Lytechinus pictus: one gene and its partner. The protein of the gene in region 1 binds, or shares a complex with, the protein of each later gene. Links are inferred from orthologs where the notes say so. Each region holds a gene or a part of one and is shown on either strand. Other genes may lie near its edges. The genes, in order: COP9 signalosome complex subunit 7b-like and COP9 signalosome complex subunit 8-like.

Evidence for each region.
Region 2: COP9 signalosome complex subunit 7b-like (region 1) and COP9 signalosome complex subunit 8-like share a complex: the UniProt entries of both Drosophila melanogaster proteins name them as parts of the CSN complex. The link is inferred for Lytechinus pictus from reciprocal best matches to the Drosophila melanogaster genes CSN7 and CSN8.

Annotation. Positions count from the first base shown.
Region 1 is NC_087258.1:2,858,762-2,870,771, reverse strand, and holds the start of COP9 signalosome complex subunit 7b-like, read right to left. Parts: upstream 5,488-12,010; 5' UTR 5,269-5,487; coding exon 5,203-5,268; intron 1-5,202. Other genes in the region: uncharacterized protein LOC129276772, read right to left, coding at 9,770-9,983. UniProt on the Drosophila melanogaster protein: Component of the COP9 signalosome complex (CSN), a complex involved in various cellular and developmental processes.
Region 2 is NC_087245.1:15,642,879-15,655,564, forward strand, and holds the start of COP9 signalosome complex subunit 8-like, read left to right. Parts: upstream 1-7,264; 5' UTR 7,265-7,643; coding exon 7,644-7,700; intron 7,701-12,686. Other genes in the region: MPN domain-containing protein-like, read right to left, coding at 7,186-7,189. UniProt on the Drosophila melanogaster protein: Probable component of the COP9 signalosome complex (CSN), a complex involved in various cellular and developmental processes.

The DNA of each region.
Region 1 (12,010 bases):
CACGGTTCGTACCAGGGGCCGCGGAAGCGGGGGGGGCTGGGGGGGCTTCAGCCCCGCCACTTTTTTCCAAAACCGTGTACAAAAACGTAAAAATGACCATATGATTGTGATTTTTAGCATGGTCAGCCCCCCCACTTTTACTTGAGTTTGAAAACCGTTCCGCGGCCCCACTCCTAGTACCAATGAGGTCCAACATTACATGTATGGACCTCATAGGCGACATCAGTAGTATTTTTGGTTAGAAATCTCTGAGAACAGGATATTTATACATTATATCACAAGTACAAGCTATATTCCTTTCTCTTATTTAAATTATAATTTTATAGTGTAAATGCATCGTTAGCAACAACAAAAAATGAAAGAAATGAAGGGGAACTTACATTTTCACGGCTTTTTCCTGATTTTCTGGGCAGCTGCTCTTCTCTTCTGACTCGCGATCGAAGCTGATATGAAGATCACGTGATTTGCGTTCTCGTCAGCTGATCGGTTGGTTATTCTTTTCGTCAGACGTTAATAATATATATTTTATAATGCTAGCATTCATCGCTAATTTAGGTGAAAGAGATTGAAGTTAAACAGCGCCAGGTCGGAATCATAATTATTTTGGAAGAGTGTATTTATACACTCGATCTCATACCTGACGTAGACGGCGCTATTCAACAAATGCACAATCTTCAATATAAAAAATAAAACAGAAAGAACGCCTTGAACACAGGCCAAAATGCCTAACGATTTCTCCGCGGCATTAACAACTATCGTAAAGGGCGCTCCATTTATCAATAAAGATGGATGCTAAGCTGTCTATGGTGACAAAATTTGCCGCAAATATTTACGAAGAATTGTGAGAAATGGTCTGAAAATGCAACAAAAGAACCGGTGAGTACCGATTAAACATTATTAAAGTTGTAAATAGATTATACATACCTTGTAGATTTAGTTTTTAAGGTGATATTAGTGCTTAGTTCTAAGCTAGGGAGGCCCAAACGCGCGTGAGTGGAGTCCCAGTTTATTAGCACGGGTAAGTATTGGGGTGTCGCCTAGAGTGCCGCGGCCCCACTCCTAGTACCAATGAGGTCCAAACATTACATGTATGGACCTCATAGGCGACATCTGTAGTATTTTGTGTCAGAAATCTTTGTGAAGATGATTATTTGTGTATTATAACACAAGTACGAGCTATCGTACTGTCTATTCATTAAATTTTTGTTTAAGAAAGTTAAAGCATTGTTAGCAATAAAAAAAAATTGAAAGAAATGAAGGGGAACTTACATTTTGACGACTTTTTCCAGATTTTATTGCCAGTTACTCTTCACTTCTGACTCGCGATCGAAGCTGATATGCAGATCACGTGATACGCGTTCTCGTCAGCTGATCGGTTGGTTATTCTTTTCGCCAGACGTTGATAATTATATATTTCATAATACTAGCATTCATCGCAAATTTAGGTGAAAGAGATTGAATTTAAACAGCGCAAGCTTTAATTTTCTCAAAAATAACATTTAATTGATTGCACAAGTTTCGCCTTGGAACAAGTAGGATCATTTGGTCCCATGTTTGTGTAACTACGGGGGGGGGGGTGGGGGTGGGGTGTCCCTACCACTATACACCCACTAGCCAGCAATTATCGTTTTTTTCTCTTTTTTTTTTACCAAAATACCTCCCCAAAAAAAAAAAAAAAAAAAAAAAAAAAAAAAAAATAGGGTTAAAGAGAAAGAGAATTGAGGAACACAATATGCTTTATTTTTTCCTCTTTTACTGTTTAACGAGACTTGTAATCAAATATTAAATGGGGCTTAATTAGAACAGCCTTTTTTAAGTCAATTAATAAAAAATATTCCTCCTCGGGATTTGAGCTTTCATGAAATATGAATCTTTTTCATGACTACCGAAAGCGCTAAAAATGTCCAAATTTTTAATTGGTATATAAAGCTTTAGCTCATGCGTTGCGCCCGTCTTATTTTAATGTTATACAATTTTATGCTTTTAATGAATTTCTAATTCTCAGATCTTGTCGCAATCCGATTGGTAACTATAATGAATGATTATTATGTTTCATGAATTGTTCAAAATGTGTCTCTCTATCAGTTTTGAATATTAAAAAAAATGTCAGCTCATGCTTTTTGCTCACAATATTTTGATTAGTAAGAATTTCTTCTCTTGTATATGCGAGTTTGAGTAAATAACTAGAGAGAGAGGGGGGGGGGGTCCCTCACCTACTTGTCCTCGCTTATTCCCAATTTTTTTATATATCATACTCGTGTTCAGAGTGTTTCAAAGTCTTTTCTGATTTTTTAAACACTTTTTATTGTCTCGGAGCTTCCCTCTATTTCTTTTAACTATGATGTAGCCCTTTTTACTTGTTTCAATTCTTTTATGTCTCATTTCATTGAAAACATAATTATTAAACAGACTGACTTTATTACAAAATTTTGATATTATTTTGTCTTGTTTGTTTGGCTTTCTTTTTTTCTTCTTATCCTTCTTCTTACTTTTTCCATTTCCTTATTTTCTCTTTTATTTCATTTCATGAGGCATCCGCCAACTTATATACAACAACAACAAACATATTTATTTGGTGGTGTGCCCCTCTAAAAAGGGAGGAAAATAGGAAGGAAAAAAAGAAGAAGGGAAGGGGAAAAAAAAAGAAAAAAAAAGAAAGATGATGATGATGAAAATTATCTTGGTGATGATGATGGTGGTGGTGATGGTGGCGGTGATGATGATGATGATGATGATGATGATGATGATGATAATGATGGTGGTAGTGGTGATTATGATGAGAATGAAGTTGGTGATGATGGTGATGATGAAGACTAGATGTAATTTTGTTATTTTGTCTTTGAAAAAATTAAGTAGTGCATAGGTGAATTTATTTAAAGTTAATTATGAAAATAGCAGAAAAAATAATTTGAAAAATTGGTATGCGTTCAGGAAAAATCCATCCCCCACCAAAAAATAATTAAAGGTGAGATTTTTTAAATAATTATTTGTGACGGCGTAGGCCTTTGCGAGCAGCTATATCGGATATAATTATGGTAAAAAGTAAATGAAATGTCAAGAAATACGTGATAATGACTTTTATTGTACATTCAGTATGTCAATAGATAACTTCATACTCTCTCCAAAAAGAAAAAAGTGGGTCATTACGGTCCATTAAAAATGGGAAATTTTTGCATTTTGTATTACATAGAATATTGAGCAACTGTTCGTTTATGACGTCACAAATCAAGCATTCGAAATTCTACTAACTCCATTTTTTTTTAATAACACCTTCACCTATGTTTTGAAATTATTTTTCTTTGGCCTATATTTTCACAATCTTTTTATCAAGGTGAAATTCCCCTTTACAAAACAGTATCCGCATGATCAGTGTGTAGCGGTAAATTATTCACCTGATAACTATAGACCTATCTATAATTCATGCGGCTATGTTTAATAATATATTGCTGTGAATAGAATGAATGTCATTAAAAACATAATCTCACTGATCACTAATGCCAGCTCGACGCGCGAACTGAAAAAATATATTTTCTGCCCCGATAATTTGATAACCCTAACCTAACCCAATTTCTAAGTATTTTTATCATAAACAGGATAACTATAGACAATTAATTGAAAACTTGATATTCTTTTGCGAAAATGGATATGAAGGACAACTTTTTAATAAAGAACACAGTTTTAGAGCGTGATTTATATATACAACCGCTTAATCCTGTCACTGTCGGTATGACATGAAGCAGTTGGAACTTTCTGATTCCATCAGCTTAATAATTTTTGCAACAGGCGCCAGTCCAACAAACAGACAGACATTTGCCCAAACAGACAACATCTCAACCTCTGCTCATTTCTTTTTGCACGGACACATAAAATCTCGACCTACCCATCACTTTTCTCACTATTTTCTCCTCCCTTTTATTTTCCATTAATTTTTCTTTCGTTCACTTTTTTTTCTGTCCTCTTTTTCCTTCTATTTTTTTTTCTCGTCTCACCGCTTTTCCTCATCCCCCAGCCCCCGACGCCCACGCAGATTCGCAAACAATATCAAGTGTACTGTTAGGCAAGGGCGGAAATCTCTCCCTAAAGGTAGCCGGGACCAGGGGCTGGAAAATTTGACAAGAAAAAAACAAACAAACAAAAACAAAAAAGAAGGTTTATCACCCCAAAAAGAAGGTCATCTTGACCAAAAGAAATTTGATAAGCAAACAAGCAAAAAAAAAGGGCACCCCAAAAGTAAGATCGTCTCTTCCAAAATACATATTTTATTTCGATTTTGAATGAAAAGACCCAAAATAGTAGGGGGATGACATTTCATAATGTGTCCCCCTACTATTCTAGGTGAGGGGGACATGTCCCCCTGGAATTTGCGCCCCTGTGGGTGGGGGGTGTTGCGCCTCCCTTTCGGAATCATTATGGAAGAGTGTAAATACTCGCTGTGATTTCGATCTCATACCTATAAAAAAAAATAGAACAGCTACGCCTTGAACACAGGCCAAAATGCCTAACGATTTCTCCGCGGCATTAACAACTATCGTAAAGGGCGCTCCATTTATCAATAAAGATGGATGTTAAGCTGTCTATGGCGACAAAATTTGCCGCAGATATTTACGAAGAATTGTGAGAAATGGTCTGAAAATGCAACAAAAGAACCGGTGAGTACCGATTAAACATTATCAATTTATTTAATAGAACATATTTCATGACTACAATGTAACAATTTCTAGATAATATTGCTTAGTTCTAAGCTAGGGCGGCCCAAATGCGCGTGAGTGGAGTCCCAGTTTATTAGCACGGGTAAGTATTGGGGTGTCGCCTAGAGTGCCGCGGCCCCAGCGTACGGTCCGAATTAAGAGGCGATTTCGCTCAGACAAAGATTTGAGATATACCCCACGTCCCAATCAGCTGTGCGGAGAAGAGCAGGACGTCGGTCGGACTTGCTTCGTAATTGGTGGGCCTAGTAAGTAATGGCCCCCCAAAAAAAATTCTTTAAAAAAACTGGCCGAATTTACCACAAAAATATACGCGTATGGGACTGTACTAAACGATAGGTTTATGTCGTTCGTGTTTTACAAGCAAAACATGACTCTAGAGTATGAGAATTACATTTAAAATAATAAATCGATCTTTATTCACCTTAAAGAATTAAGAATGTTTTTTTTTATTTATTTACTTTGGAAACTAAAACGCAAACAATGACCAACTTACAGTGACAGAATCCGCTACACTAGGCACAGCTGCACTTCTTATCTTAATGGATGCACGCATGCGCATCTGAACCGTGCATATATTTTGCTTGGTGATCTATCACTAGTATCATCGGATGGCCAGATTTGGCTACATCTCGTATACCACTTGAAAGTTCGTCCAACTTCACATAAGTACGGTACTAGTAGTCAGTAATTAAACCAAAACATGTGGCCTCCTCTAGCTCCGCGCTTCTCATCATCCTAGCCTAATATTTTTTCCCCTCAATTTGTCCACACTCTTCCTGATCCCGCCCCTAATTCCTGCCCCCCCCCTTCTCTTCTTCCTCCTTCCCAGGCCTATGGGGCTCCTTGCCTGATCCTCCTCCATTATCTACGGCCTCCACCCCCCCCCCCTTGTTACCCCCTCTCCTCCATCGTTTCCTCCTTTAATTACCTCTCTCGCTTCCTATGCCCTCCACCCTCTCGATAGCTTTACTTTCTGAGCTTCCTACATCAGCTAGTCTACTACTAGAAATCCAACCCAAATAAAAACTTGCTGTAAGAGGAAAAAGAAAAAACAGACAAGTTGATATAGGTGAAGCAAATGGATCCTGTTACTCTATAAGATCACATACCCATTCAAGTCATTGAAATCTTTCTCAAAGTAGGATATACCCCAGCCCTTGATCGATTAAAACAATAGTATTTTCCTCTGTTTTTGCTTGTCCTCCTTTTCTTCCTTTTCTTTATTCATATCCTCTTTTTCTTCTATTTCTCCTTTCCTCAATTTCATTCTCCTTTCTTCACCTCTCTTCATTTCTTCCATTTCATTCCACTCCTCATCATGCACTCTCCATTTCATTCTCTTCTACTTCTCCACTTTCATATCTTTTCATTCCTTTCCTCCTCTCCATTCTCGACTTCTCACATTTCTTTACTTCTTCCCTTTTCTCGATCCTTTCTACTAATCTTCTTCTAAGCTTCTCCTACTATTTCCTTTCCTCCCACATCCTTTTTCTTCCATTTCTCTTTTTCCACCCCTCCCCTCTTTCCTCAGTCACCCCCCCCCCCCTTCTCTACGATAATTAAAAGTCAGTCTAGTAACAAGTTCAAACACAAATTGCACATTCGATATTTAATATATTTCATAATTTACAATGATTATAAATGATGGCACATTTCACGGCACATTTTCAGCGCAAATAAGACAGAATGCTAATTTGGTCTACAAAACACCAATATAATATATCCATATAAAGACAATTGAATACACAATGACATTTTAAAATGCCTTATTCAAAGTACTGTAATTAGAGGGGGCATTTTCAAAAAAAAAATTCTGAATTTAATAATTCTCGGAGGGAATTACAGAATAGAATTCATATGGAAAATAAAGTCTTCATGTAGTTCAACCTCCTATGAATCACAAAATCATAGGGTTATCGTGACAGGTCGGTAATCGCATAACTCGACCATTCGAGAAAGGGACCGCCTAAATTCCCACCACATGGGGTCCAGTTTACCCGCCCATTTGAGAAAAGGCCCCCCCCCCTAAATTCCTGACAGGTCGGGACCAATTTACCCGATGTTTTGTGAAAATTATAGCCAAATTCTCAAATGGTCAGGTAAACTGGACCCAACGTTTTTGGAATTAAGGTCAGGATTCGCTCGACCCAACGCGATAACCCATTGTGATGTCACAAGCTGAAAATGATCAAGTCAAAGCAATTTTTCTGGCCACATTTATACACACAGCATGTGTGTTATTCACTTCTTCAAAGTGAAATGTTGCCCTTATTCAAACAGGTTAATTTGGTCACAAGAGATAAGATTTGGGAAGACGTACTTGTAATTCCAAAGGAACACAAAGGGGAAAAATACGACAGATAATGAAACTTATTACTTTTATTATTTCAAATGTAGGGAGATCTGAAAATGATGACCTATTAAAGAAAGAAACAATGGTATTTATATATTTCCATATCCATATTTTTCTCATTCGATATATAAATCTGATATAGAAACGCTCTAAAAATTCGTTTTGGCCAATTGATCATGGGCCCAGCAGCCACTGCGCAGCGCTAGATGAACATAGCCGAAAGAGTAAATGCCCCTCAAATCAAAATTGTGTAGTCTGTCAAACAATGTATTTTGAATGAAGATTCTTGGTCAGTGTTCATACACTTATAGACTAAGTTCTGTGTAAATGTCTGGAAAAATGTCAAACTTCAGCTGAAATTCGGAAATACAAACACATCCAGGGGGGCAGGGGCCTAATTCATATAGTTACAACTTTTACCATTATTTTTTCAATGAAGGAATGGTAACATGGCTCAGAAGCCAATCACATTCAAGGTTTCCATGGTAGTTACAATGACAATGTTACAGTCAGTCCGCAAGCCCTGAAAAAGTAGCTTCTTTTATCCAAGTGATATTCATGACAAGAGGGTTTTTGCATAGTTAATGAGCTTGGTGCGAACCAAAACACCTCTTTTTATTCGGCCATTGCTGCTCTAAATATTGACAAAATTTCATGTTTTTGGTATCTTTGTAAAGAAGAAGAATCTTTCTTTTAGGTCATGTGTTTGGATTTTTAAAAGAATGTTGTAATATAGGGGAAACTTTTGATCTAAAACATGAAATAATGGTTTTCATGCAACAAAAGTTGTTGTTTTCACACTTAATTTCTGTTTAGGCACAAATGATTTTTAAATCATGATAAAGCTGAAGATCTAAGCTTTAATATGATATAATTTTTATAAGAAGATGTATGTTAGATGGGTCAGCAGCCAGCTTTTCATAGGCCAAGTACATTTTGCAGCTCAAAAACAAGAATACTGCGCTCTGATTGGTCATAGACCACACACCCACGCAAATTCCAATGTTCCCCACACTGGGCCTCTGCAAGGTCACACTCACCATGTGGTAATCTCTTCAAATTACTCGCGCCTGTTTGTTTTGAAAACAATATTCAGCCAATCAGAACTCTGGATTTTATGTTACTCAGAAATTTCAGAAATCTCGTCTTGCATCTTGATGGAAATAACTGGCTGCTGACCCATCTAAAAGATGCCACATATCACGAGTGACATTGTAAGAAAGTACAGAGTTTGAGCTTTCTGATGATATAAATAATGTTGGTGCCTAAAACACAAAATGTTGCACAATTTGCAAGTGAAAACAGATGAAGAAAATTCTGTTTGATGCATCTTTTCAGGTGAAAAATTCACTTATTTATCAAAATATTTCATTCAAAAGAAATGACCAATATAAAAGGGTAACATTTACTCTTGCCCATGGTACAAAAATAATCAATATTACTCAAGGAGAAAGTGGTTAAATTCTTTGAGAAAGAAAGTCTCACAATTCACGAGATTTTGCAGGGACATGAATTCAGCCACGAGAGGACTTGGATAAATCTTGCTCATTTGCTCATTAACACAGGGGCTTGCGGACTGACTGTTACCAGAGATGTAAGTAATATGAATTTGGCCCCAGATCACTGGAAATAAGAAATGATAAATATATTTAATGATGATGGTTTCTTGTATAGCGCCGGTATCCACCTCAGCTGGGCGCTCATGGCGCTTGCTCAAAAATAGGAAATATCTCACAAATTTAGCTAAAGAATATTGAACATCAAAAGATGCACCTCAATATTGATAGACATCAAAGCTTTACACTCCTTTCTTGCTCTCAAGCCAATAATATAATTTCATAATTGATAAACTTTGCAGCTATTTACATCCATATTTACATAAAGTCTATAAAGAAATACTTGCACAATACATTCCAATTTTTCATCTTACTTCTCAAAACAGCAATCAGGATAAGATTACATTTATATTGGACATAATACTGGTATTGCTATGTGTATCAAACAGATTAATCATCTGTGACCTATCTACACATTGGCTGGAAGTTTACTTAGTAAATGTAATATTAATGCATCATTCTAAAGCAGCTCGCTCATGTTAATACACCTATATGTTCCTATTTCATTTAAACTGCATCTAGCTCGTTATTAAACTAAAAATGACACCGAGGTTGTCAATACCACTCCCTATCATGAATGCATTATATGAGATCTCTTTATATATGAAAATAGCATATGGCCATCCATAATTCTGAAGTACACACATTTATGACCAATGTCAACAAAACAGTGTGTTATCAACCCCCTCTCCCCCCCCCCCACACACACACACACGAGGGTAGGAAATAATTCCGGGGGGGGGGGGGGGGGGCTACGTTTATATTCACATTGGGGCGAATACTGGATTCCGGGGGTGCCATTTCATTCATTTTAAGGGCTGTATATTTTGCACAAGTTATTATGCCGTGAATGCAACTATCATAATTCTGCTGTATTGTTAGAACAATACTGTCTGTGGCAGATCTTGGGGCGACTCAAGAAAAGACGGTTGAACCCAAATGAAAGCATTCCATTTGGGAGTTTTGGGGATTAAATAGGCTGGGATGAGGGTGAAATCGCCTGTCATCCTTCCTACGCTACCCCACCCCAATAATGCCATTTCCAATATGAGTATTTGAGACAAGGAAGAGATGACCAAACCACAATGATTTTATATTAATGAACACCATGAGAGCCATGAGGAAGAATCTTGATGTTCCGAATCAATGCTCCCTCTTCTCCTCGATCTCCTGTTCGATCCTCTGTTTGAACCTCGACTGAACACGTCATCTCCGCTCAGCTCGGACTCACTCGACTCGTCATCAGAATCGTCCGCCGGTATCGTGAGGGCAGGGTCAAAGGTCGCAGAGATGGCACCTGCTGAACTGTAAGATAAACACAGTAGGAAAGAAATTTAATGAAATTTGATAGCAATTATTCAATGAATTAGGTTTTTGTAAGCATTCAAAATGATAACCATTGAGAATCTAAATATACACAGTATGTCAGCTACATGAACATATAATATCACAGGCTTTTTAGTATGTACAGCGTAAATTATTGGTGGACTGGCAGTACTATTTTTCCAGTACAACCGAGGATTAATAATTCCCTCTATTCTTTCGAAATAAAGGCCTGGTATATTTATTTTATATCCTACATTTAATAAGTTAGAACAGATCTTGATAATCTTGTTCTTGTACACGTAGTTTCATCTTTTTTAAATTCTGAACCAAAATATGGATAACGCGCTGCGCTGACTGACCTACTTTTCATGAAGCTACGCACTCAGCGGAACACGCATTTGTGCCTGTGCCCGAGAGATTGCGCGATCTGTGACGTAAATCAAGGAAGAGTGCACTTTTCCCAAATTGAAAATGAAACGCCCACTGAAGAGAATTTACGAAATAGTAAATTCTCTTCAGTGGGCATTTCATATTCAACATCATCGCAAAATAGTGAGAATATGTTTGGTCACATGATGCTATTTACACCAATCAGCATACAGGAATTAATTTATGTAGGATATAATGTGTGTTATACCGAGTTTCATTGAGCCTTGGTGCCCTGCGGGAACCAGGTGCATGTCTCACATTAAAAAGTATATTTTACTATTGAGGCCTTTCTTATTGGCATCGGATGCCCCCTCAAGTGAGCTCTGCCTTTCCTTTTAGGTGCCTTTTTTTTCAAAAATAACCTAGCCCCTTTGAATTCTTCATTCGAGTCCTTAAAGAGGAATGAAACCTTTGGAACAATTAGGCTTGTGTCGAAACAGAAAAATCATAGAATAAGAACAAAGAAAGTTTGAGAAAAATCGGACAAATAATGAGAAAGTTATGAGCATTTGAATATTGCAATCATTAATGCTATGGAGATCCTCCCATTGGCAATGCGACAAGGATGTGTGATGTCACATGTAAACAACTTTCCCTTTGATGGACTATAAAATACCCCCAAAATGTGTCTTTTTGCTTTTTCTTATGGTGATACAAACTATTTATCCATGATGTATTCTTTAAAAATCTGTATCACATGCCCTCCTATAGAAAGAACACATGATCTACTGATAGATGTGATAAAAGAGGCAGTTTAAGTGAAATATAAACTTAAGTAATGGGGAGAGTTTTTCACAAGTGACATCACACATCTTTGTCGCATTGCCAATATGAGGATCTCCATAGCATTAGTGATCACAATATTCAAATGCTCATAACTTTTTCATTATTTGTCCGATTTTTCAAAAACTTTTGTTGGTCTGTTTCTTTGATTTTTCTGTTTTCACACAAGCTATCTTGTTCCAAAGGTTTCATTCTCCTTTAACTGTTCAGAGTATGTAGTGGAGCGGTTATGGGACAAAAAATGGCCAAGATGCTCGGATCTGGCAGAAAGTGTGAAATTTGGCATACAGGGGTATTTTTGGGCGCTGATTTCAAAAATTGCCGGCCCCAAGCGATTTGACCATCGGGTCGGCCGCCATTTTGAAATTCAAAATGGCCGCCATGAAAAATCATTAAATGTCATTTTCTTGAGTTTTACATGGCATGTGACACTGAAATTTGGCATATATGGGTATTTTGAGGCACTGATTTCAAATATTGCCGGCCCCCAGCAATTTGACCATTTGGCCGGCGGCAAAATGTCCGCCATCTTGAAATCCAAGATGGCCGCCATGATATAATATTGCAATAATTTTCTCGAGTTTTATATGAACTGCGGTACTGAAATTTGGCATACAGGGGTATTTTTGGGCGCTGATTTCAAAAATTGCCGGCCCCAAGCGATTTGACCATCGGGTCGGCCGCCATTTTGAAATCCAAAATGGCCGCCATGAAAAATCATTAAATGTCATTTTCTTGAGTTTTACATGGCATGTGACACTGAAATTTGGCATATATGGGTATTTTGAGGCACT
Region 2 (12,686 bases), on another chromosome or scaffold:
ATCATACTTAGTCCCTTCGGGTGAACACTCAATATTGGAGACTCTCCTATTAGAGGACGCTGGTGCATGTATCATTACTATCACAAATTTCTGCAAAGTGTGGTAGATTTGATTGGTATTTAAAAAGCTAGATTTGTCTGTTTACCAATTTCTTCTATCTTTCATGTAACATGGAAGACTTACCTGAATACCCCATGCATTTTTTTTTCTAAAACTTAGTACATGATTCAAACTGAGCTGAAACCTCTTCAGATAATATTTTACGGTGACTTATTCAAATAAACATTAGTTATATCTACACTCAAATGCAACCTGAACAAAAATTATATATTGAGGTATTCACTATCTAGTCACTGCTCGTCATTGTACTAGGCAGGACTAAAGTACATGTATGCCAATGCTCTGGAGCGGACTACATAAACTAGCACATCAATGATGTGGAGCTCATCCGGCATCTCGCAACGAAATTTAACACAATTTTAATTTCAGCCCAGTTACACTGTAGTGAATTACATTGGTGACATAAATTGAGAATATAGAATTGAAATTGATGAAGAAATGACATAGAAGCATTTTTTGTGATCTATGAATAAATTTCATATATATTAAGCATAAATAATTTTCTAGTCAAAATTTCTAAACTCTGTGTAGAACCTTGTTGAACCTCATGTAGCTCTCAGATGAAACAAAAATAATCAAAATCAATCTACAAATTAAATAAGTATTTTTTGTGAGTTTTGAAAATATATGAATAAATTTGCATATTTAATGAGTAAGTTTCAAAATTCTGTGTTGAAATTTTGTATCTCCACCTTGAGCTATCATATAAAGCAACAAAATTGAAATTGATCAATAAATGAAGAAGAAAACACGTTTTTTGTGATTTATGAATAAACTTTGCATAAATTAGCATAAATAATTTTCTAGACAAAATTTCAAACTTTTGTGTACAAGTTTGGTGAACCTCATGCAGCTCTACCAGATGAAAGAAAACAAATTAAGAAGAGGCATTTTCTGTGATTTATTAATAAATTTTGCATAAATTAGCATAAATAATTTTCTACTGAAAATTTCAAAATTCTGTGTAAAAGTTTGTTGAACCTCATGAAGTTCTACCAGATGGAAGAAAAAAGAATCAAAATCGGTCAACAATTAAAGAAGAAGCATTTTATGTGAATTTTTAAAGACGCATAAATTAGCATATTTAATGAGTTTCAAAATTCTGTGTAGAATTTTTGAATCCCCCACCTAATGCTATCATATAAAGCAAACAGAATTGAAATCAGACTTGAAATGACCATTACGAAAATACCCCATTTGAGGCGTCACCGCAGTTCGGATCGCAAACTGCGGTTTTAGACCCCATTTTTCATTTGAAACTCTCATTTTTCATTTGAACATTTCCAAGCCCCGATAAACCCATCTTGGCCAGGTAATCCCCGTTGTCTCAATTTCACCTCCACAGGCCAGTAAAGCCAAGGACGAAATGATAAACAACAGCTGTGCTATTACGTAAGACTTCTCTGCCTGTAGAAGGACCTTCGGAATGAAATTATTGTATTCGATATTTAATCACGTTTCCAAAGGCATATTGTATTCAGACATCCAATATTAGTCCTTTTTCAATTTCGAACGAAGAAAATCGACCTCGAAATAAGGAAAATAAGCGAATAAAAATTACGGTATGCTTTGCATGCAGGGACCGCCCTCAGCGCTGCGATGCATCCCATAGTTTCTGTCCGTCCAGCAAGAAAATATGGGATGCATGCCGTTCACTCGCGCATTGATACAGTCCTAACGTTGGAAAAAAAAAACAGCCAGACAGAAAGAAAGAAGGAAAGAAAGAAAGAAAGAAAGAAGGAAAGAAGGAAAGAAGGAAAGAAGGAAGGAAAGAAGGAAAGAAGGAAAGAAGGAAGGAAAGAAGGAAAGAAGGAAGGAAAGAAAGAAAGAAAGAAAGAAAGAAAGAAAGAAAGAAAGAAAGAAAGAAAGAAAGAAAGAAAGAAAGAAAGAAAGAAAGAAAGAAAGAAAGAAAGAAAGAAAGAAAGAAAGAAAGAAGGAAAGAAGGAAGGAAGGAAGGAAGGAAGGAAGGAAGGAAGGAAGGAAGGAAGGAAGGAAGGAAGGAAGAAAGAAAAGAAGAAAGAAGAAAAAAGTTGCACTTGTTATCTTCGGACCGAGGTCAAGAAACAGGTGTTTTGATACTTAAATGGCTTGCTTGGAACAGTCCGGGCTTATAGTACTTGGAGAAGAGAATTGGTGAAAAAGAAACTGGGGTATAGTATTCTCAAATGGAGGTTTTTGTCATGACGAAGAAGAAGCATTTTGAAATTCAGTCAACAAATAAAGAAGAGGCATTTTCTGTGATTTATGAATTTTGCATAAATTAGCATAAATAATTTTCTACTCCAAATTTAAAAATTCTGTGAAGAAGTTTGGTGAACCTCATGAAGCTCTACCAGATGGAAGGAAAAAAAATCAAAATCGGTCAACAAATAGAGAAGAAGCATTTTATGTGAATTTTTAAAAACATGCATAAATTAATTTTGCATAAATTAGCATAAAAATTGTTCTAGTCAAAATTTCTAAATTCTGTGTAGAAGTTTGGTGAACCTGATAAAGCTCTACCAGATGGAAGCAAAAAATTCAAAATCGGTCAATAAATAAAGAAGCATTTTTTGTGAATTTTGAAAAATGCGCATAACTTAGAATATTTAATGAGTTTCAAAATTCTGTGTAGAAGTTTTGAATCCCCCACCTAGTGCTATTCATATAAAGCAAACAGAATTGAAATGGCGAAGAAGCATCATTTTGAAAATGTGGACGGACGACAGACAGAAGCCAGACGATGGACGCCACGGCATAAGCTCATCTGGCCCTTCGGGCCGGATGAGCTTAAAACAGGGGTCTCTGGAACTCATTAGATCGTAGGCGGACGTAATTGGGTAGCAGCTACATGTATGTAAAAAAACGTGCGGGCGTCTTGCTAGATTCGTATTGAGCCAGCACAAGCAAGCTGCGGCCGGTGCGGGGAGCTTCAGCGGGCCGGCATAATGGCTCCGCGCCGATAGAGCTCGCCACTCTGACTGGCTGAGTAAATCATGACAGGCGCTCTCTGGAGCGAGAAATCACGAATTTGAGGGTCTCCGGAATTCGGAACGGGAAAAATGGGAATTTCTATCTACATGTATGGCCTGGCTTTCTGAATTGGCAGTAGAGGCGCACGGCCAACATGGGAGACTCTCTCCAATATGGGAGACAACCTCCTATATTGAAGACTTGCTTTGCAAAAAATAAAAGAAACAAGACCAACAAAAGCATAATTTTTTCCACCCAAAATATGTTCTCACTAGGCAGTGCTGCACCAGCCCGAGTTTGTTCAATCTCAAGATTTTAGCCCGATCGGCCCTCTTCGCGATTAATCTCGAGATTCAAGAAATCCACCGTCGCAAGAAGAGCGATTCCTGCTCGAGTGAGGCATCATGGTCTGACGCCGTGCATAAATAATCCTGAGTGCGTCTGCACCTGCGAATTAGCAGGATAATTTGTGAATAGTGCGCTATTTTGCAAACATTAAGTTGCATTTTGCAAATAATAAGTTGACTTGGGATTGCAATCTCAGGATAGCAAACTAGCGTGATAATTGCGTCTCCATTACAAATAATCTTGAGAATTCATCGAGATTGTTCAGATCGGGATAGTTTGCCGGATCAGAAATAGCGCGCCATTTTGAAAACTCGGGCTGCATGGTGCAGACGGCCCTACTGATGTCAGAAGACAGAAGCCCATTTGTTTTAAGTGTGGATGACAACAAAATCGTTCAAAAGTAGACAGTGAATTTTTATAGACGGTGAAAAGGGGTTATATTTTTCATGAGGAATCTGCCCGGGGGGCCACTTCCATTGACGAGTGAATACCATGCGCGACCATGGGGTCTTGAAAAGCACCCTAAACACATATTTTCCATATTCTAACAAGTGGAACGCCTCTGGCAGTCTCGCCTGCATTACGCAATTTAATATAGCAGCAGTGCTAACTTTGAAAACTACTATAAAATAATCATTCACAAAAACATCATTCATATAATGACATAATACCACGTTCATTGACCATAAATGACATTTGAACGGAGACTTAAGACTGTCAACTACACCCATGTCCACATTTCATTCACTCTAATATCCATAAACTTTCAAAGTTATGATGGCACTTCAACAATTACCCCAACATGGCCTAAGTTTATTGACCTTAACTGACCTTTGACTTGGTTTTGTGACCTGAAACTCACAGGGGATGTTCAGTGATACTTGATTACTCTTATGTCCAAGTTTTATGAACTAGATTCATAAACTTTCAGAGCTAGAATGGTAATTTAACATACCCCCAACACGGCCAAAGTTCATTGACCTCAAATGACCATTGACCATGGTCATGTGACCTGAAACTCGCACAGGATATTCAGTGGTACTTGATTTACCTAATGTCCAAGTTTCATGAACTAAATCCATAAATTTTTAAAGTTACATGTATGATGGTAATTCAACAAATACCCCCAACTTGGCCAAAGTTCATTGACCCTAAATGACCTTTGACCTTGGTCATGTGACCTGAAACTCAGGCAGGATGTTCACTAATACTTGATTAACCTTGTGTCCAAGTTTCATGGACTAGATCCATAAATTTTCAAAGTTATGAAAGTAATTCAACAAATACCCCCAACTTGACCAAAGTTCATTGACCCTAAATGACCTTTGACCTTGGTCATGTGACCTGAAACTCGAGCAGGATGTTCACTAATACTTGATTAACCTTATGCCCAAGTTTCATGAACAAGGTCCATATACTTTCTAAGTTATGATGTCATTTCAAAAACTTAACCTTCGGTTAAGATTTGATGTTGACGCCGCCGCCGCCATCGGAAAAGCGGCGCCTATAGTCTCGCTCTGCTATGCAGGCGAGACAAAAATGCACCCCTTAACGAGTATTGACGTATGAAACTACCTTTAACAAGTATTGGAAACAAATTTAACAAAACGATACTCTTGTCAAGTATTCCCTGAATTGAACCCCGGACAAGTACAGCGATATTTCAATTGTTATGTCACGGACGACGTCGGTCGTCGGTTTTCTCTTTACCTACATAATTGGGTGTACAGCCCCTCCTCCCCACACGTAAACTCTAAACACGTAATGTTGACTCTTGGGGCAAAAAGTACATCCTTTATAAAACATTTGTGTCTTAATTTTTTTATACCCTCGCAAATTTGACCCTAAACACGCAGCTTTACTAGCGAAAATAGATACCTTTTTTCATCATTTTAGTGTTTTTGACACCCTTATTACGTTACGTACGTAACGTGCCCCATCTTGAAAAAGACATCCTTTTTACGTGTTTTTTTGGTCGCGCATGGTATCCACTTGTCAATTGTAAGTGGCCCCCCCGGCGGAATCTGCTTATCACATTTTAATTTGCCGTAATCCTTTAGCAGCAAATGTAAACAAAGGATATTGGTCTCCCAAACTGGAGACTGTCTCTGACATTGGATAGGGGCATACCCAAATTCTTTACATAAGTCTCTGATATTGGAGATAATCTCCCAATGACAATGTCATGACTCATCATGGGAGACTCCCAATTAGCCGTGCGCCTCTAATGAATAAGGTTTATTTTATCGCTAATCAGAACCGCAATGCGTTATGGGGTGGAAAAGGGGCAAGCAAGCTGTCTGCAGAGCTAGCTAACTTGCCCCCTTTTCTATCCCATAAATAATGCACTGCGGTTCTGATTAACGATAGCTATACTAGACTTGATCTCTAAAGACTAAACCTTGCTTAAGTTGTTATGGTGTATTGGTGATGCTATGGAACTGAAATTTAGGCTAAAAATTGGGGTCTCAACCGCGGCACTGACACACATATCTAGACAGCTGGCAGCCGTCTGTTTCGAGGAGTTTTTTAACATTTTTTTTCTCCTCATACACAGACGGCTCGCTATCGTGCAGCCACCATTAGGGGGTAAACAATGAAAAATCCCCCCGATGGGGCTCATAGGTTTTTTGTCTTTATTTCATAAAAATATATAAAAAGAACTGGACCAAAATAAATATTGCTATTCCGTTTTGGCCTGAAATGCACCAAAACGGGGAAAAATAAACTTATTATACAGTAGAGGCGCACGGCCAATATTGGAGACTGTCTCCAATGTGGGAGATTATCTCCAATATCAGAGACTTTTGTAAAGAATTTGGGTATCCAATTTCAGAGACGGTCTCCAGTTTTGGAGTCGAATTTCCTTTGTTTACATTTGCTGCAAAAGGATTACCTTGGCGGCAAATAAAAATGTGATAAGCAGATTCCTCATGAAAAATTACCCCTTTTCACCGTCTACTTTAAATATTCACCGTCTACTTTTGTTTTGATAAGGATTTTTGTTGTCAATCACACACAAAACAAATGGGCTTCTGACCTCAGTGAGACAAAATTTTGGGTGGAAAAAATCATGCTTTTGTTGGTGTTGTTTCTTTTGTCCTTTTGCAAAGCAAGTCTCCAATGTGGGAGATTGTCTCCCCTATTGGAGAGAGTCTCCCATATTGGCCGTGCGCCTCTACTGTTATAAGGGGAAAAAACCACTCCCACGTATTGCGAGGTTAGCATTAGTATACTAACCTCGCACCACGAACCGCGTTTGGCAGTGGATTTCTAACTAGTGGGTCGCGCCTGCTGGGATCTCACTTCTTGGGTCCACAACACACGACTTCAATGGCTTGATTTTTCTGTGCGCGGCGGCATGTAATGAACCCTTGGGTGGGAAAAAACAGTGTTGTTCAGCGGAACAACCAACATAAGAACAGAGACCGAAGCTTTTGGTCTAATATATCATACATTTATACTGAGCTTACACCCCCCCCCCCCGGCAGAACACAAAATGGCCAAGTATGAACATTCATACCAATTACACGGGCATGTACTGAACGTACACCAGGCGATTCAGCTCCTGTGCAATTCATATACTCTCTCACACAGAAACGTGAAATTAACGTTCGATATATGTGTGTGAGAATCGCACGCAATATTTGTGGAACGTAACTTTACCTAACTAAGTTTCAAGTACAAAAAATCATTATCATTGATTGACATTGTCAGAAAATTGTAATTGCATTAAAGTCATGATCGTTAAATAATTCAAGTTACCCATGAATTAATTCCGAATAAGGATATGTATCACCAAATCAAATCAATGAGAGTCAACTCAAGTGGCCGTTTTAATTCTGTGGAGACAGGAATGGATGATGAGCCGCATGCTATCTCTTCTCTTTGTTTTTCTTTCATGTGAACTGGCTCATTCCATTTTTTTCAATCGCTTAGGGTTGGGGGTTCAGTTTTAATTGAAGAATATAAAAGTGAATATAAAGAATGTTTAAAACACATGAAATCGATAAAAACAATATATAATATTACGATATATTTTCGATTAAGTCATATGATATCATTTGTTGACTACCTTTTTAATCATGTTAATATATTATTTAGAGGGGAGTGTAGAGTTTCCAAGGAGGTCCCGTCCCTGAGCCGAGTCTAGTTACCCTCTGTGCTAAATCAACGTACCGGGTATCTGATTTAATCTGATATCCCTAGTCCATCTACCAAAAATGGCTTCTTTTGATGCGATTTCGCTAGTTGAACAGTGCGAGCAGCAAGAATTAGAGGTAGGTTTCCACTATTTAATTTCCAGATAAGACTGTAGAGTAGAATAATGAAATAAAAAAACCTTTCTGGGTTGCTAGGTTCTTTAGTTTAAGTTTTATTTAACCTTGTTGACTTGTGTGAATGGTACCGGCATAGTCGTGAGTGTGGTCCCACATTATTGAAAATTGTGTAAGCCCTCGCCTGGATTTAGATGCAAGTAACTTTTTTAGGGCTATAGGCAGCCTATTAGGCACAATAAAAGAAAAAAAAGAACAGTATTAATTGTTGGGCAGTATTCTGAACATTGTCTTTTCTCCATATTTTGTCTTTTCTCAGAGATCTATGACAAAATTGGTATGTTGATGAACTTTTGTCATTTTCATAAAAAATAATTTTGACTTTTGTCTCGTCTCAAATCGATCTAAGTTATTCTCTCTCCTCCCTTCTGGCTTCTCTTTTATTGTGTGAACCCGAAAAATGTGGCTCTTAAGGACGTTCCACAGTTAAAGTGAAATCCATGTCATTTTCACCAAACTTTACACATAGATACTTTAGAACCTTAATATTCGAAATATGCAAAAATTAACATAGGTCCATGTGCTTGATTTTTTGCTATAGAACTTCAAAGTTCACCCAAATTGATGTTCTTAAGAATTGCGCATTCAAAAGAATTTGGCATTTTTAGACCGCCCAAGATTACTACAATGAGTTTAAACCTGTATTACTCAGTCAAAATACATGAAAAAGTCATCAAATTTCGCAAGAGAGTTAATAATTGTATCGTTAGAATGGAGAATATATTTATAGTGCTATTTGTTTGCAATTTTAAGTTTAACAGCACTGTCAGTTCTTAAAAATGGCGTAAAAGATAACAAAATCCCAATCTAAAAAATGTGAAATTTCAGTAACAAACTACAAAAGTACAATAAATGCTGCACCTTATTCAAAATCCATGTCATTTTCACCAAAATTTGTAGAGTTGTAGAGGAAGGTATACCTAAGAGGAACAGCATTAAAAAATAGGGGTTCATATGCTTGTTTTTAAACTATCAGTATTTTTATTAGAGCAATTGTGCTTTTTAAAACACCAAAAATGCGCCGAATGCTTTGTATCTATGTGAAGAAAAAATCAAAACCACTCTACCATTTATTCAAACTCGGGGTAATATTCGTGATTCTTGGCAGCACTGCAGAGTAAAGTATTTTGAAATTGTAGAAAATCTTTTTTTGAATGGTCCATGGAATAATTCCATTTTTTAGCTTCATGAAATAACGCATCGGATCTGCAGTTAAAGTGCAGAAGATGAGAAAAATCAGCACATACCCGCAGCTAATTAATCACCTGTTCATCCATTGTGACGTCAGCGCGTAGAGTGTAAACTATGCGCAGATCATAATGCGCACAAACATAACTGTGGAACGTCCTTAATGCGCATAATGATAATCCTAATATGCAAGCAAAAGATATGACAAAATTTATGACAGGGTCTTACCGGTCTAGGCTAGCACTATAGCAGTCATACTCATAAATTAAAAAAAATATATATATTGCCTATATAAATTCTACGTGCCTTGAGGCTTGAACGAAACCAGCTGATAAAGCCTTTGTTCGTTTGTCAACAAACTGTAGATCTACACCAAGGTCTATACAATGAAAAGACTGCCCATGGATGCACTGTGCATAGAAAATCACAGGCACAATGCATGCAACGCTTCTATGACTGAGATTGCGTGACATTCTTATGCCTATTCTCTATAAATCACTTTGTTAGTAGGTTCAAACTAGGCTACTGCATAAAACTTACCAAATGATATGAAGTCAATTTCCTGCTTTTTTTAATCTTTCTCTTGATTTCTCCAAATTATTTTTCTTGATGCTCGGGCAAGAGTTTCATATGCACCCCCCACTATAATTGAAAATAAAAACATGGAGAAGGTTCATATTCGTAATGCTTTGCATCAATTTGCATGTAAAATTGTTTCAGTGCTTAGTTTTTCCCTTGTAGTGTCTTTGATATGAATATAAATTGCATGCAATCTTTAGGCAAGAAATTGGTATTCCTTGAGTGGAATCCAACTCTCATAAACATTAAGAAAGATAATCTGTAGAATTTCAAGAAAGAATAAGTAATGTGGCTTCAAATCATTCAATAAGTTCTATAGCAGTACTGGTATTTGAAGTTAAAGTCATTTAGCAAACGATTAATGTGAATAATTGCCAGCCCATCCCATGATGAAATTAAATGTGTTGTGCCTGTGATTTCCATGTGCACAGTGCATGTAATGTTTCCATGGGTGCCTCTAGTCTACTGCCTCTCAGGAGTCTGGGTAGGGGGGTGGAGTCGGGGAAACGGCTATCAATTTGAAACTTGAAGAAGTACTCTCCCAACAAGCATACACGCTGTCCTGGAAAGGGACAGAGGTCCCTTTAATTAATGGCAGTTTTAAAATTCTAATGAAGAACGCGGTCACATAAATTTAGTCCCCTAAAACTCAGGATTACAAAAAAAAAATTGCTTCCCAACTGGGCGTTGTGCGAGTGCGGGTATGGAAGCAGGAGACCGTCAAAAACACGGATATACGTCGTGTCGTAATTCAATTTACTACACGACGTAAATAATTACGTCGTGTAGCAATTCGAATTACTACACGACGTAAATAATTACGTAGTGTAGTAATTCGACTTACTACACGACGCAATTCCGTATTACTGCCCAACGAATTAATGTCATGACGTTAAATGAATTAGTGTCGCTACATCAAATAATTAAGGTCGTGTAGTTATTCGAATTACTACACGACGTAAATAATTACGTAGTGTAGTAATTCCAATTACTACACTACCTAAAGAATTACGTCGTGTAGTAAATAATTACTACACGACGTAATTCCGAATTACTGTTTAACGATTTAATGTCATGACGTTAAATGAATTAGTGTAGTGACGTTAAATCAACCAATGAGATCGTTCGTTATATGAGCGCAATGCGATGAGCTGAGACTACAGAGTATTGTACCGGAAGCGCGTTTCCGTTTTACACCCTGGCGAAGGCATTTTCCGGAAAAATAGCCACAAAGCGACTAGTGAAGAGTCTACGTGTACGTTTGTTTACATAATCAGCTGGGCGCGCGATCCAAAAGTCAGCACTGAAGATATCCCTAGAACATACGTGCTAATGCAGCTGAGCTTATAGACCAAAAGCTTCAGTCTCTGTATTTTGGTTGTTCCGCTGAACTATATACGTTGGCTTCATGATTTTTTTTTTTACTTTATCGCACATGATCGTTTATATGAATGAAAACGAATAATAGCTAAAATATTGAAAAATAAAACACATAAGTACTTTTTTTCATATTATATCTATCCTTATATCTATCCACTACTATCTATGTTATAAATCAATCTATGGAACTACATGATATATCTATCTGTTAATTTGTCTATCTACTCTGTCTCTCTCATTCTCTATCTATCTGTCTATCAATCTATCCATCTAACATCTATCTCTCAAATTATCTATCTATCCATCTGTCTCTCTTTTATTTCTCTCTATCCATCTATTAATCTACTCATGTGCAATATCAACACTGCTTCGACTTCCTTCGGGAGTCTATTTCCTCAGCTCTACTTTTCCCTTTTTTGTGCTCGATTCGATTCAACTACTACTTTATTTACTTGTTACCATTGTTAAATGTCTTGTATTGCATAATGAGTTTTTTTTCTGAAGGTTGCCTCCTATTCTCTTTCAAATTCCACCTCTTGTTTTCCCTTCTCTTTGTCTTATCCCAATTTCTTTCCCTTCTCTCACCTCTTTCTTCTTAATCTTTCATTCCGCTTTTTTCTTCTTTGGTGACACTTTGTAGTACTTTTAGCCTTTTGTATTTATTTATGATACATTTCTTTTTCATCTGTATGAATTTGTATTGTATTTGATATTTATTTATAATGTTTACTTTATATTTTGTTATGATTCTATTTGTATGTAAACATTCACTTATTTCAGTCTTTGACTGCTTGTGATTGTATTTTGATAGTTTTTATTGCAATAAAATCCAATATATAAATATATATATATATATATATATATCTCTCTCTCAAATTCTCTTTATCTATCCATCTGTCTGTCTTTTTCTCTCTCTCTCTGTTTCTCTCTATCCGTCTATCTATCTCTCGAATTCTCTCTATTCATCTGTCTGTCTGTCTCTCAAATTCTCTCTCTCTCTCCATCCATCTGTCTGTCTTTTTCTCTCTATCCGTCTATATATCTATCTCTCAAATTATATCTATATCTATCTCTATCTATCTATGTAACTGCAGTATCTATCTATCTGTTAATCTTCTCTGTCTCTCTCATTCTTTATCTATCTATCCATCTAACATCTACCTCTCTCTCAAATTCTCTCTCTCCCTCTCTCTCTCTCTCCCCCTCTCCATCTCTGAGTTCTCTCCCCCCATCTATCTATCTATACATCTCTCTGTCTTTCTCTCTCTCTCTCTACTTCTATCTATCTATCTATGTATGTCTCTATCTATTTATCAGTCTTCTATATCTATCTTTCGGCATCTAAGTGTATCAATCCATCAAACTTCAATTTTCTTTCTATTATATGTATCTGTTTATTTTTATTTTGTCTGTCATTCTATTCATTTAGTTAATAATTTATATTTAGAAAAAAAACTTTTTCATAACTTTTCATAAAAAATCGTAGCTGCAAAGGCATGTTCGGATTTCACTCATATGACTGCTCTCTGTACATGAAGTGCCGAGGAACTCTATGCTCTGATCAGTAAACTGTGCAGATTGCATGCGGTGGTGTGGGACTCGCCTGTGTCGCACGCTGCAACGGTATACCCGCTGCAACCAGCGACGTGTGTAGACTCTTCACTAGTCGCTTCGTGGCTAATTTTGCGGAAAATGCCTTCGCCAGGGTGTAAAACGGAAACGCGCATCCTGCGCAGGCCGTCGGGATATCCCAGGGGGCCCCTCGAAAATAAAATAAAAAAG